Styela clava: one gene and its partner. The protein of the gene in region 1 interacts with the protein of each later gene in a pairwise test. Links are inferred from orthologs where the notes say so. Each region holds a gene or a part of one and is shown in the gene's direction. Other genes may lie near its edges.

Evidence for each region.
Region 2: the proteins of 26S proteasome non-ATPase regulatory subunit 5-like (region 1) and 26S proteasome regulatory subunit 7 interact in binary tests that used the Homo sapiens proteins (3 or more experiments, as listed by UniProt). The link is inferred for Styela clava from reciprocal best matches to the Homo sapiens genes PSMD5 and PSMC2.

Annotation. Positions count from the first base shown.
Region 1 is NC_135263.1:5,458,345-5,466,036, forward strand, and holds 26S proteasome non-ATPase regulatory subunit 5-like, read left to right. Parts: upstream 1-4,419; 5' UTR 4,420-4,427; coding exon 4,428-5,942; 3' UTR 5,943-6,912; downstream 6,913-7,692. Other genes in the region: NADPH-dependent 3-demethoxyubiquinone 3-hydroxylase, mitochondrial-like, read left to right, coding at 6,963-7,592. UniProt on the Homo sapiens protein: Acts as a chaperone during the assembly of the 26S proteasome, specifically of the base subcomplex of the PA700/19S regulatory complex (RC).
Region 2 is NC_135261.1:464,197-472,454, forward strand, and holds 26S proteasome regulatory subunit 7, read left to right. Parts: upstream 1-4,974; 5' UTR 4,975-5,044; coding exon 5,045-6,349; 3' UTR 6,350-7,981; downstream 7,982-8,258. Other genes in the region: dnaJ homolog subfamily C member 7-like, read left to right, coding at 8,185-8,258.

The DNA of each region.
Region 1 (7,692 bases):
TTCAAATGAGAATCAATCAACTCTATACTGCTTTACGAAAATAATCCTACAACAGTCAGATAGAACAGATATCAGGATATAGAATATAAAGTATAAACTATAAAGTTACCTGTATACCGGTTCCAATTAAAGCAGATATGAATTATTTACCAACTTTCGACAAAGATGGGACAAACTAATTTTCGATAATAATTCTATTCTTGCAATAATTTATCGAGCGCACCAAGCGTGAACTTTGGTGATAGGAGTATCAAAAATTGCCAAATCTGTCCATCTATTTCACTATTGCGAATTAAAAATATTTATCACCCTCACAGTGAATTTTTAAAATTTTGGACTTTTATAATGTGCTTGCAGACTTAATTAATCATTGTCGAGATTCAGAGGGCTGGAGGGGTTCGCACGAAGCACACTGGACTCTTTATTGACTAATAAGATATTTTATTCTGAACTAATACCCCTATTTCTGTATTTTGTATATAAGTTTAATAAATTTAGTGATCTTTGCAACTACATTTTAAGTTGGTCTACTTATGGAAAGCTGCCGGGTCTAGGGCCATTATTTGGAATAAAGTATCTGAATATGGCGGTATGTTATCTTTTAAGAAAAAATTGATCTGGAAATGGATCATATTATGGTTTTTCCGCAGTGGCAATGATCAAACATTCTGATATTGTGTTGATGATGAAACTTTTGAGTGTGGCATGGGTCGTACAAGTGTTTTAAATTGCAAAATTGATGTTGTGTTTCAGCAGGTTTACTGTTTACAGACCATTGGCCTCACAGACATCTCATCCCTGTGATTTTTTCAGTCATATCGACGCATGAAATCCAAACTGGGCTAAGTCCATTTTTCTAGTTTTGAGAAAAACGCAAAAAACGTTTTTTTTTTGTTTCTTTTTTTTATTTCTCTAATACCTTACATCGAGGATGTCTAGTTTTTATGGTCCACCAAAGTTACAATGAAGGCCATATTTGAGTGGTATAAAAAAATTTGTGTTGCCCCCCAAATTTTTTTGGGGGGGAGTTTTTTGGACCTGGGCCATTTTTTGCTCTCGATTTTCTGAACCAGAATTTTTTTATTGGACTTAGGGCCCCTTTATTATGCTATTATAAAGGCAACTTGTCATTGATAAACGTCAATAATTCCCTTTTACAATGTTTTTGACACTTTTTGTGAGCTTATCTCCACGTTAGAAAATATTTCTGCTCCTGAATCTTGCTGACAATAGTTATCTAGCATCCAATTTTTATCAGACTGCTATTGCTACTGATTACTGCATTTTTTATATTATATTCCTTCTCATAACCATTGCCAACTAAATTACTAAACAAAGTTAAGAAAGAAACTGTTGTAAATTCTCAATCAGGAATGGTCAAGAAAAATAAAAAAAAATTAAATCAAGCCCAATATGTAAAACTGTTTTAAATTATTTTAATTTTACAAAAGTTTGAGCTAGTGTTTCTGCTCATGAAATCTAACTTTCATCAATTACTGGAAGCAATTCGTAGAATGCCTTGTGGTTTGTAGGGATTAAATTCTTATTACATAATGTTGTCAAACTCTTGTATTTCTCCCTGCTGACTCTTTTATATTCTGTCTTTTTTGTGTTGCTGGTCTTGCTGACTTTAGAACCAAAGAGTTCTAAAAGAGCTCCTCACCGAATGGGCTGTGTCATTCTCATTTTGAGAATGACCTGTAATTAGAAAATTAAGTGTTATTTCATCGAAATGCAGCTCCTCTATAGCATAGAGTAACATCACAATCATAGCTCTGTTATTATTTTGTCCACTGCAGCGGTCACAGAAAAGTTGCACAGTCTTCACTGCTGTGGTGAGAGAGGACAGGTATCAAAACACTGCAGTCGCTATTTTACAAGAGCTTTTTCACCCTTATACTTCATTCCAAAGATAGCAACTCTTGTGCATGGACTGAATGTCAGTTACTGTAAAGTTGAAATTTTTCAGCATTTGTGTGTAGTAAAAGGAGGACACTTGTCCACAAAGACAAAGAAGAGTTTTCTGAAGGTCAAAAGCTGCCACATGAAGTGAAGAATCTGTTGTGGTTTTTTCTTTCATTTCCCTCTTCATTGAACGCACCATGTCCTTTTCTTGGATATGCTTAGTTTGATTTTCGAAATCTTCGTCAGTCAATAGAGATTTTTGCATTTTTTGAAAGCTGAAAGCATTGATCACACACATCTATTTTAGGTCGGTGAAATTTAAGATTGAATTTTTCATTGGATATGCGTAAATAAAAATCATATGATTCAACTGCAGAGCTATTTTCTTCGCACCAAATCTCATATATTTCATACATTTGTCGTACAGTCAGATACTCATGAAGATATTCCCACTGACTGTCTTTTCTCAAATAATGTGATTCAACAACTGGAAACAATTTTATATGAGTTATAAATGGCTCCTGCCTTTCCCTGGTGACTTTGTTGTGGTCACCATATCTTCCTCACATATCTTTCTCCAGTGAACCAGTGATGTTTCCACCCTTTTCTTGCTTATATTCGGGGGAATCTAAAAAAAGTTATTACACACTTGCACCAACTCGTTGCTTTCTGGATTTAAAAAAGTGTAGACTCTGTTGACTTCCTGATTACGTTTTTGATCAGTCTTAGTATCTTTTCTCGGACTGCATCTCATTTTTTGTATGTACTGAGACAATCATATTCTGGTTAGATTTCTTATCAGATGGGATATCGTAACTGAGTAAAGTCTTCTGGCTGGTTCACACTTTGCTTGGCTTTGCTTGAAAGATATATTTCCGACTCGAAAATTCCATAATTATGTAAATTTTAATAATTTAAAAACAGCAGTTGGAAAGTGGTTATGGCAATGAATAATAACTTTCTCATTCCCTCTACTGTAAACATAAAAAACAGCTAACACTGAGCTATGACTGAGAGCTGGTATGGACTTAGCGCTTTCTATTATATTTAACTCAAATTTTTGGGAGGAGCTATGTCCAAAAAACGGACTTAGCACCGACTTACAATGCAGTTATCCAGAGCTAAGTCCACTATAGCAGACACAGCTCTGTTTAGTTCTCAAATGCCCTAAAAAAAGCAGGGTTATGTCCATAGCTATCTTGAGATCTAGAGCACCTAGAGATAAGGCAAATAGACCAAAATGTAGAGCTAAGTCCAGGAAAATCAGCAGTTGGAAAATGTCGTTTTTGGGAAAAGTGGACTTAGCACTGTTTGGTTTTGATGCGTCGATATGATGGTATGAGACTATTTAATTTATGACTTCAATAATCTGTGACACCTATGTAACCCTAACTACAGAACTATGCACAAATGTTCTATAAATCCTTATGTATTTATATAATAATACATATGAACAAAACTCAAAGTGAATGTGGAATAACTGAAATAAAGTCATAACATTGCAAAACATAGTGAATAGCTCAAAACAGAGGGCAGAGGGAAACAGCAAATACCTGTTACCAGTTTTGCACAGTTTCCCTTTGTTTCCCCCTTTTTCCGCAAATAGTAAGACCCAATATGAAACAAGTTTGCATATACCCATATAATCAGTCCCATATTTATTCGTACCATGTTTATTCATAATATTGTGGCATTATATACTTTAATACTTTTTCATTGCTTTTCTCTATACTAGTATAGTAAGGTTTAAAATAGGAATCCAGTCAGAATGTCTTCTTGTGGGACTTCAACTGGCAATATTGCAAAGGAGGGAGAAGAAAAATTTGGCTACTGGAAACAATTAGTTGAAACTGGATTCGGAGGTCTTCAAAACTGGCCAAAAATGCGTCCACTGGAAAATGATTGGCAACGTCCTGGTTTAGCTTATGATAAGTGTGACATCGAAGTCATGGCTATGGAAATTTGTCGTCTGCACAATGCAGATAATCATAGACGTGTCCAGCAAGTGTGTGCGAAAGAACTTACAGACTTGATGGAATGCACATATCCTCTTAATCGATGTAAAAATGAAAAAAAGCTTATCAAAGCCAGTGCATTAGCTTTTGATCCTATACCTTCATTGCAAGCTGGATTTAATTGGAAATATTAAATTTTGAACTATTGATTCAGAGTTTCATCTAGGACTGGTCATTTATCATTAATTTTTGATTTTGCTTTAGTGTTCATATTTGATCTTTTTGAAATATAGGAGACTGTTGTAGTGTGTTTATATACCCTTGGCACGACATTTCAGATATGAATAAATATTCCTTCATTCACTTTGTAATAGTTTTTTTTGGGGTATCGTATCATATTGAGTTTATATTATAGACCTAGCTGGATTTTCATTCAGCATAGAGTAAACTCTGAACATTTTTGTAGATATATATCAGTCCTACGATTTGTCTGATTATTTTTTTTAAATTATTCTGGTTCCGATCACATTATAATATCCTTAAGTGTGTTTATCTCTAGATTTTATAATGGAAACAGTTAAATCATTATTCGAAAGACTTCAATATGATGAAAATCGTCTTGCTGCCCTTTTGGACGGAAAAACTTACTTAGTAAACGTTAAGCCCACTACTTTGAAGGGAATAATAACAGCTCCGGATATTGCTTTACTTTTTGCTTGTTTCGATACGCAAAATGTAGAACAAATTTCAGCTGTTATCTTCATATTGAAGCTATTATTGCCAATAGTTGATGTTGGGGCAAAATTGGAAGTTTTATCTCAGCATTTATGGAATGGTTTGAATCATTCCAACAGCTCCGTCCAACATTTATGTCTCGGTGAGCTTCGGGAATGCTGCGTAACAGATATAGGCAACCGTGCGTTAATGGAAGGCAAAAATGTCATTGCAAAAGTAATAGAACTCATTGGGGATGATGACATGTCAATAGCTCATTCTGCAGTCCAGTTTCTTTCTGATTTTGCGTCATATTCTATCAATGCAGCAAAATTTCTTCTTCAAGGAGAATTGCTGGAAAAGTTTCAGGCAGTGATGAGAAAGAATGATAACGTTCGTTACAGAGGATATGATGTTATTGTGAAAATTCAATCTAAATCTATTGAACATTTATCTGTTTGTGATTCTTCTGGTTTGCTTCGCAATCTTGTTAATGAGCTGATGGGAGATGATGTATTAATTAAAGTTGTCTGCGTGTCAACTTTGTCTGAAATGGCACTCAGGAAACACAGTTTGCAATACTTGAATAAGAATGGAGTTGTCAACAAATTGATATCAATGATTACAAATGTTGCCTCTGATCCATTGGCCGATTTATATATGCCAGAAATTGTGAAGTTTTTTGGAAAAATGTCGTATCAAGAAGGACCACAGCATGTTATACAAATTTTTCCACAATTTTTGGACACCTTGTTTTCACTTGTTGATGAATTTGATTTGGTGAAGAAAAAAATTGGAATTGAAACTTTGGGATTCATTGGACAAAGCATGGAGGGCAAAAATGTTCTTGCAAAGGAGGGAAACCGCACCAAAGCGGCAATTACTGAAATTGGAAAGATTATATGCACAGAGGGAAGCGATTTGAGACTGATATCTATAAATGCAATGTGCCAGTTATTGGATATAGCTCCCTTGGATCAGACTGAAGATATTGTAGCTTTATTGGCACAATGGTTTCGTTGCATCTCATCATCTCCCATTGATGCAATTTTGTTTTTATGTCGCCAGCCTTTCACAAGTGTAAAATGTGCCGGATTTCATTTGATAAAAACTATAGCGAAATTAGAGTTTGGAATGGCTGCTATGGTTGAGTTCCCCACTTTTGTGGAATTCATCCTCGATCGATCGTCTGATAATAATAAAGAATCTAAAGATGCAAGATTTGAAGCAGTAAAAGCAATTGCAGAATCTCCCCAATGCATGCATATCTTTGGCAACAATAATTATTTAAAGTTTCGTTCTTATGTTCTTGAAGGACCATTATATGAAGAGATGGTCAGTCCTGAGGTCGCAATGGAAACATCTTAAAAAATATGCTCAGTACTAGCTTGAGCTTTAAGTACACCTCGCCCTTACGATAAGGAGCTAAAGTGAACTATAATTGAGATTGAGATAATTGAGCCCATCTGAAACATTATTTTTGTGATAATTCTGTGTTTGCTTTTACGTTTAATGACCGCCTGCTATAACACCTAATGTAGTAACATTAATAATACCTTGTTATAAGGTGTTTGCTCACTTAAACTCAAAACGGGATTCGTTGCAAATTGCAAGCAGCAATTGAATGCACTGATTGTCGTGTTTCGAAAGATCAAAAATTTTATGAATCAGCATATCTGAAATGGTGACCACAGACTGCATATTTTTCATAAACTTGCTGGGAACCTGACAACTTGCAATGCTAAATCAAATATGACAGCAGGATCTATGTCATGACACTTTGGACAATAAAATATATGTTTGAAGTTTGGACATACCATGCATTATTTAATGATGGGTGATCAGTCTTATAGAAATATTGCAAATTTTGTATAAATTTTTTCGAATGTATTATCGAACACAAAGTTGATTTGAAAGTTATGTTTGGGACCAAAATTTATTTTCTTCCTATCTGCTGGATCACTCAATTTCAAATATTCGCAGTTGAAAACGAAAGTTTCTTCTTCAAAAATATCTCTTTCAATTTTGTCATATTTACTCTAGGCATTTTTTGATTTAATATGAACAGGTTTTAAAAAAAATGATGCCATGTGGCTGTGTCTTTATATTTGAACATTGCTATTTGGCCATATTTTCAAAGCTATTTATTCTGATCTTTGCGCTATATTCCAAAAGATTTTGCGGTATAATTTGCTCAAGTCGCATATAATAAAATCATCATTATTTAAGTTGCTAATACACTGCGTTTTAATGCTGCCTTTAGTGTCATAATACAGAGAATGTCTTTTGTAGCAATACGTAATCTACCGTAACTTTTATTTTAACTTTCATTTTAGAACTCCTGTTTATATCTAATGTCACATTGAATGGTTTAAATTTTCATCAGTCATGCTTCTAATAATAAATCGTGGTTGTTTAACCAAATACTGTTCCATACTGAGGAGTAGTTCGTTTTGTACCTCTTCATGCACTCGTCAAGTTAAGGATGCACAAACCAAAGCTATGTATGATAGAATGATCAGAGTCGATCATGCAGGGGAACTTGGTGCCAATCGAATATATGCTGGACAGCTGGCTATTTTACGTAAAACTGATGTCGGCCCAATCATTGAAGAAATGTGGGAACAAGAAAAAGTTCATTTAGCAAAATTTAATGAACTTATACCTAAGCATAGAGTGCGTCCCACTGTATTAACTCCAGTATGGAATGTTGCAGGATGGGTACTAGGTGCTGGAACTGCCCTTATGGGGAAAGAAGCTGCAATGGCTTGCACTGTAGCTGTTGAAGAAACTATTACGGAACATTATAATGATCAACTTCGAGAACTTTTAGCAAGAGAAGATTCCTCCGAGCATGAGGAACTTCTAAGCACAATCAAACAGTTTCGTGATGAGGAAATGGAACACCATGATATAGGAATTGACCATGATGCACTAAATGCACCTTTTTATTCAGTTTTGAAAAATGTAATACAAGCGGGATGCAAGGTTGCAATATTTGCATCTGAAAGAATTTGACATCCGTAAATGGAGATTTGAACTTATAGAAAATCAAAAGCGATAATTTATTTTTTTCGACTGCCTCCATGCTATATGCCAGACCAAAACTGAATTCTTT
Region 2 (8,258 bases), on another chromosome or scaffold:
TTATTCGACCACATGAACGCTGATATCCTGAAAATTAATGTTGAAAGAGAATTACGCATTCTCAGATATCGGACATCCAGTCGCGATATTCAATCGTTCATATGCACAAATCTCACATTAATAGTAATTGCTACCCAAATTTGTAAAGTTTAGAAACCAACAAACAGAAAATAACTAACCTAAAACACAATTAAAATTCAGTCGGCAATAAATTCGTCGCCAAGACGATGCCATACAAAACAAAAAAGATTTGGTCGCGAGAGTTACGTGAGATGACTGCCGTTGTTTTTTAAGCAGAATGTAAAAAAAATTATAATTAATAAACGGGAGTTACGACGCCCTTTACACATCGTGTGTATTAAACTTCCCTGGTAAGTACTATTATTATTGTACCTATACACCTGTTGGAGTATTTCGGACAATTTCGAATTTAAAATAAATGAAAACCAGACATATAATAAAGACGCAAAAGTAAAATGAACATTTATTGAAAAAGTTATTATTTAAGGAAGACAACATGATCGTACAATTCCGCCAAAACCTCGATGTTCGCAAGTGAGATGATAAATAAATACTTCCCTGTATTCGATCAATTAACTTTAGCGTATCGTTGTTCTGCCAACAAACAGCAGGGTGCAAAATATTTCCGTCCTGTGATATGCTCACAAATATTCTCGATATTAATATCATACCCTCGCGTATGTACTTTCTATTAGCTCTTTAGTGATCCCTTCCATCCTTGGCCAAGTCATGTTTCGAATATGTGAACATTTTATTCGACCATACGTGGCCGGCGGGATGTTGAAAATTGTAAACAAGAGAGAGGTAAAATCAATCGCGAATTTCGTTATAACGGCTCGTTTACGAATTGTTGCGCCTGTTATCGTCGAAAATGATTACATTTGTTGTATTTTGAGGCATTTAGGCAGTAATAATTAGGGCATGACATCATCAAAATCGTCAAGTGAGATCTTGAAATTGCAAATTCCGTAAATAAAATTGCGAATTATTCGGTAACGAATTCAGCTTTAATGACCGTCGGGGTATTGTTTTGTTGAAAATTATTATTAATGAAAGGTAAAATTTGATCTAAATTAATTGCAAAAATGTTTTATTTTAAATGTAACAAAACACATTTTGCGATATAACCTTTTATTATCGAAAACGGGTGTCCTGAAAAGTAAAATAGGATCTAAATTAATCGCAAAAATGTTTTATTTTAAATGTAACAAAACACATTTTCGCGATATAACCTTTTATTTTCGGAAACGGGTGTCGTGAAAAGCAAAATATGATCTAAATTAATCGCAAAAATGTTTTATTTTAAATGTAACAAAACACATTTTTCAAGATACAACTGTATTTTCGGATACCGGGTGTCATGGAGAGTAAAATGTGATCTGAATTCACCGTAAATAATGTTTCATTCCAAATGTATCATAACGCATTTTTTGCGATATAACTTTGTATTTTCGAAAACGAGGCGTCACGAAAATTATTAATTTAATGTTCTATCTATCGTCTAACTAACGTCTGGAACACATCATTTTCGGGGAGAACTCTAGCCCGCGAAACGTCATTTAATTTAAAATAGAGAATGTTTCACGCATTTCAAAACGGAAAATCACCAGTAAGTGGACAGGGATTCAACCCTCCGGATTCAGTATTCTATATCCCCGTGTCAGAACTTTCTGAAGAATGGAACAAAGAACCCGTCAAACCGCCGCGGAAGAAGTGGAGTATTTTTTGCACTAATAATTAGGGCGTGACAATATCAAAATCGTCAAGAAACTGGTGAATTTGCAAATTCCATAAATAAAATTGTGAATTGCTCGGTAACATTTTAGCTATAATTATCGCCGGGGTATTGTTTGGTTGAAAACACGTTGAAACTTGACGGAATTAGTTACAATTAGCGCCTGACCTCTATTAGGCACTCGAGCACTCGAAAAAAAAAGCACTCGAGCCCAATCTTTTTAGCATTAAGTCGCATACCTAAAATATCCTGCAAAAGAAGTGCTGTTCATTAACGTCATCTCGTCTTACGACCACGCAGAAATGCCTTTATAGCCGAATTATTCAATCACTATTTCAAATCAACATTCAGGATTGGCACAATTTCAGATTTGCGAAGTTTATCACCATAGAAATACACGAGAAAGTTAATTATCGTCTTAATAAATATCTGCATCACGGTATGGACAATAATATTACCATTCACATAAAATTGGGACGGTAAATTTACAAATCTTGATAGGTAATATTAAAGCCAGCGCAAATGTTAATTTGAGTCCTCAATGTCTTCAACAGCTGTTGCCGATGTGAACGAACGGGTAAACCCGAAATATAAAACTTCGATGTCCGCCGACCCACAAGAATTCATATTTGTAAAAAACAGAGGGCGGGAATATAGATTACCCAAAACCTGGATATCGCCGCCAAAACGATCGGTGACAAGAACAATTAGCGATTACAACGGAATTAACCAGTAAAAAGGCTTTGTTGCCGATTTTTTAATGTTTCCACCACGTTTATTCGGTATTCCTTAAAAATATTCGATTTGAAAAAAAATATTGAATTTTGCCCACCCCTCCTCGCATATCAATGAGAAATAGTTGTGTAAATATCGCAAAATTCCGGAAAATGCCACGTCCTTTCAACATTGTGATTACAATAAAATGGCACTTAATGGTATTTTGTGAATTTGTTGATTTTGCAAATCTGTGAAATGCTGCTAAAAGTTAAGTCTGATTTGAAAATCGTGCAGTTTGGTCACAATTCATCCAAAGTGACTATAACACCTTACTAACACTTTTTATAGTCATTTTGAATTCATCGATATCATTGATAGTCACATGACCACTCTAGTTCAAAGAAACGCCCCGAGAGCGTTTTTTGCGGGAGAAGCGGAATCCGTGTGCTTGTATAATAATCATATTATAAACAAGAATTTTGCCGTTAATGCAAAAGCTTCATCTCCTATGTCTGCATCTCATAGGTTAGAATTCCGGTAAATATCGTTATGATATGCAGAATTGAGTTACAAAAGTACTAGTATGTTACTTATTTGTCAACTTAATACTCGAAAATATTTGTTAACTTTGAATTTTTATTCTATTCAAAATCGGAAAAAAGTGCTATTTCTCTTCAAAATCGGAAAAAAGTGCTATTTCGCAGTCCCTAAAAAAAGTTGCGAAAGTGCTTCGCAATTTTCGCAAAAAAGTGCGCTAATAGTGAACACTGCTGATGACAATATGGTCAATGAAGAATAAATGTAGGCCTATGTAGTGAATCGGAAAATGTAAAGTTACAGGAGGAGTCCCGCTTTGAAGTCAAAAAAATATGGTAACCCTAGATAGATACAGTAGTTTATTTTGAAAACTCCATAACACACACAGATTAAAAATGGAGGATTCCGGAGAGCATACAAAATAGTTTAAGACATGATAAATATCATGCCCCTCAGCACACACACAAACCAAATTAAATGAGGCGTGGGCCAGAATTGAACAAACAAAATATGGAGTCTTATGTAGTTTCGTACCTAACATACTTTTGGTGGGCGTATAGTAACAATATTTGCACGTGTCAATCCTAACCCCCACCTGACCATGCCATCCAAAAATTATGTCTCTCTGACGTCACAGTGGCGTAATAGAGCCCTTCAAACTATACGAACCGTCATCCAAAACGCGCTTGTCTGCACACCTGAAATCGAATGGCTACTTCTCTCGTTTTTTCATCTCGACGATCCCAATATGAGAGAGATCACTAACGTTAGTAAGTTCTTTATCGCCGGCACCGATGCCATTTCAGGCGATCGTACGTATATTTGTCAAGCTCTATGACGTGATTGTGATGTCGCAGTGAAGTAATATTTGGATGGCATAGTCAGGTGGGGGTTAGGATTGATATGTCAGAAAATTGTGATGCTACGCCCACTAGAAGTATGTTAGATACGAAACTACACGAGACCCCAAATACGAAATAGTATTTAACTTTCGGGCTGTTGTACTTTTAACACTTACATTGATATAACCAATACAATCTGATATAAAGATAATGTGGGGAGTGCAATGTAATAAACTGACAACAATAGTCATTGAAGCTAAGAAAAACCGAGCCATGAAAAACTACACTGCTATTTGCCTGATTGCTAGATCGGGCATTGCTGAAAAAGGTGATGAAGTGGTATAAGATCAAGCAAACTCTAAACTATGACGGTAAACTCGGTGTACGAACGCTAATAAAAACAATTTTCAGGAAAAACACTAATCACACGTGAACAGGTCTGTAGCCTAATTGATATATTGACGTGGCCAGCATTGTTAAAACAGTATACACAAAGAGAGAACAAAACAAAAATATGCCATCAAATGAATGTTCAAAAACGTTGAGCATTGTTATGGTCATATCAATTTACATTAAAAACTATTTACGCATATATAGTTGAATTCTCATTTAGTATTCAAGTAGAATTTCTAGCACAGTACAGCACCCTATCCAAATTTCAAGAATTTCCCTCCAATTGGCTCAATAAACCAAACACTCTATGTGTCTCACAAACGAGGGGTGTCTGGGGCCACGTCAGATGCGTCATATCACACCATGCTTGTCTCAATAATAATCTAAATTAATCGTGGCAGTCACATGACCAAAATTGCCGTTTTCTGCTAAAAACTCTCGAATGCTCCGGTAAAATTTTTTCTCCTTCGGTAAATCGGATTGAAATTCAACGATGATTTTACTAAATTGCGCTTTTTTGTAGTATTTTTCCCAATATTTCAGTATTTACATGTTGATATTTCTTCGGTGCTGGTTCATTTCAGTCCTTCTGCACCGCTGAAAAATGCAACTGCACCGGATGACTGCCAAACGTGTAGAGATGGTAAAATGATTCATTCACAGATTAAAAAAATTAATCAAATAGCGAATAATGTATAATAATAATTATATACCGGTAAGTCTGTATGTGTTTTTTCAATAACAGTTCAATTTTGCTAGTGTTATAATAATTTATAAAGTAAAGTAAATAACAATAAAAATGCCAGACTATTTGGGAGATGACCAACGCAGAGTCCGTGACGATGAAAATAAGGACGAGAAACCGATCCAAGCTCTGGATGAAGGAGATATCGCACTCCTGAAGACGTACGGACAGGGTCCGTATGCGAAGCAAATCAAACAAGTTGAAGATGACATCATAGCGATTACGAAACGTGTTAATGAGCTCACAGGAATTAAAGAATCGGATACTGGACTCGCCCCACCGGCTTTGTGGGATCTTGCCGCGGATAAACAAACGTTGCATAGTGAACAACCATTGCAAGTAGCCCGATGTACGAAAATTATTGATGCTGACACAGATAACGCCAAGTATATCATCAATGTGAAGCAATTTGCGAAGTTCGTCGTAGACCTTGGAGATCAAGTCGCTCCAACCGATATAGAAGAAGGCATGAGAGTGGGGGTAGATAGAAATAAATACCAAATTCATATCCCGTTACCCCCTAAAATAGACCCCACTGTTACCATGATGCAGGTTGAAGAAAAACCAGATGTAACATATTCGGATGTCGGAGGCTGCAAAGAGCAAATTCAGAAGTTACGTGAAGTAGTGGAAACTCCCTTGTTGCACCCTGAACGTTTCGTTACACTTGGAATAGATCCTCCAAAGGGGGTTCTTCTTTTTGGACCCCCAGGAACAGGGAAAACGCTCTGCGCGAGAGCAGTTGCTAATCGTACGGATGCCTGTTTTATTCGTGTTATTGGTTCCGAGTTGGTACAGAAGTATGTCGGGGAAGGAGCCAGAATGGTTCGTGAATTATTTGAAATGGCTCGTACTAAGAAAGCATGTTTAATTTTCTTTGATGAAATTGATGCCATAGGTGGCGCTAGATTCGACGACGGAGCTGGCGGGGATAATGAAGTTCAACGTACAATGTTGGAGCTCATCAACCAATTGGATGGATTTGACCCGCGTGGAAATATCAAGGTACTAATGGCAACGAATCGGCCTGACACTTTAGACCCAGCGCTGATGCGTCCAGGTAGAATGGACAGAAAAGTAGAATTTGGGTTGCCAGATCTTGAAGGCAGAACCCACATTTTTAAAATCCATGCACGGAGTATGAGTGTCGAGCGTGACATTCGATACGAGCTTTTGGCTCGTTTGTGCCCAAACAGCACTGGCGCTGAAATTCGCAGCGTTTGCACTGAGGCTGGAATGTACGCTATTCGTGCTCGAAGAAAAGTTGCAACGGAAAAAGATTTTCTGGAAGCTGTCAACAAAGTGATCAAGTCATACGCAAAGTTCAGCTCAACACCAAGATATATGACCTATAACTAACTGTGGAATTATGTTATATGGATTGTTGACTATATTGGAATTATACAAAAAAAATGTTTTCAAAAAATTCACATCAAATTGACGTTGGCAATAATATTAATGGATATAATTATAGAACTGAAAACTTACAATTTGCAAGTTATATTGACATTGTCCATTTAGGTTTTTTTAAAAAAAATTATTATTCCAGTCATATCAGGATAGTAATGTAAGGTTAATTAACTATCTAGGTCACAGGTATTTTTACCTTCTGGAAGTGTGATATTGCTGTTAACACTCTCTTAGTCTATCTATTTATGGCAATATCATTTGTTGCCTATGGGATGGGCTTGATTGTATTGTTGTGTAGGGCTGTATATGGAAATGTTTAGAACAGTGGTTCCCAAACTTTTATGGCTTGTGGCCTCTTCCCAGAGGATCATGGCCCCCTGTTTATTATTCCAGTGGTATTTGTAGTATTATTTTGATCCCAAATCTCGGTATGGTAAAACAGATGGAAAATGGGTTGTTTTCTAGTAGAAGAAAATGTAAAATCAGTTTTGAGTCTGGCAATGTGGCCCCCATCCAACTGCTCAGCCTGTCTGGTCAGAAAAAGTACCCTTTTAGTCTACTAGATATTGTCGTTATTATTCATTAATGTCAATATTATTCGTGGAATTGCAAGATTATGTTGGTATTGAGGGCTGTGTTTCATAAGTAGGAATGTTTGGATTCACATTTGTTACGTTTGGTTTGCTATTTTGGACAGTTATTTGAAATGAGCATGTTTTAGATTTGGCTGGTAATGTTAATATTATTTTCACATCAGTGATGATATTCTGCATCTGAACTATTGATGAATTTCTTACAAGGCCTGTGTAACAGTTTGATTTAGTGGATTTCTCTATTTCTCAAAGTTTGAAACAATATCCATCAAATTATTTCAATAAAAAGTTTGGATAGTTCAATTGAAAGTCAAAAATTTGTGTTTCCTTATTTCCTAAAAACATATTTTTCAAGTTTCATCTGTTTGGATTGAAGGCTGAAGCCCTCAATTTACTTTTAATGTTCCACTTGCGCCAAGTTTAACAACAGTGACATGCTAATATCTATAGGCCCTGGAATTTCATTTTCATTTCTGTTATTATTTGGTATTTAAAAGATGAAGGATCTTGTTTTTACTTCTTGCAATTTGTGCATTTATATCAGTGGTTCCCAAATCCGTGGGCTAATTACGGCCAGCATAACAATTTAACATGGCCCGCTGAACTTGAGTAAAATAGTTCCACACTTTACGTTTTTATCCTTTTGCGTTTTAAATATCGCAGTTTGAGCTTGTGTTTGTGTATATTTGTAATAATTCAATTATATTGGTATCTTGGTTGTACATACTGGTATTGGGATTACATAAATGTCTCACACTTGCTCTTTCCAGGCCCACAATATCCTTCCGCTTCTAATTTTGGCCTCCTGTCAATCAACTTTGGGAACAACCACTAATTTATATGTTTCATTTATGACAATCCTGGAAATTTTTCATTTTCTGTGCAAGACCTATTGGTGTATGAACTTGAGCACGGGCCATGTTAAATCAATATGTATTTGTATGAATCCATTTGGTCACCTATTTGATGCTTTGTTTTGTATTATTAGTGGCTGCTAGTGGGCCTTCGGCTGCTTGTACTCAGGTTGGATTAGGTAGAATATAAAGTGAAGTAGCTACTCCAAAAATCCTTCAAGGATACAGCCTACATTTGGAAATCGGATTCGAAAATTCTGGATAATCATTTAGAGCTAAATCAAAGCCAAACGTCTACCTTCCCAATAAAAAACTCTGGACACTTGAGGCAGCAGGGATGCCTTCAACGGACTCAAGTCAGCAGATACCAGCGTCATCTCAAACTCCGATGGATGTAGATCCAGAGATTGA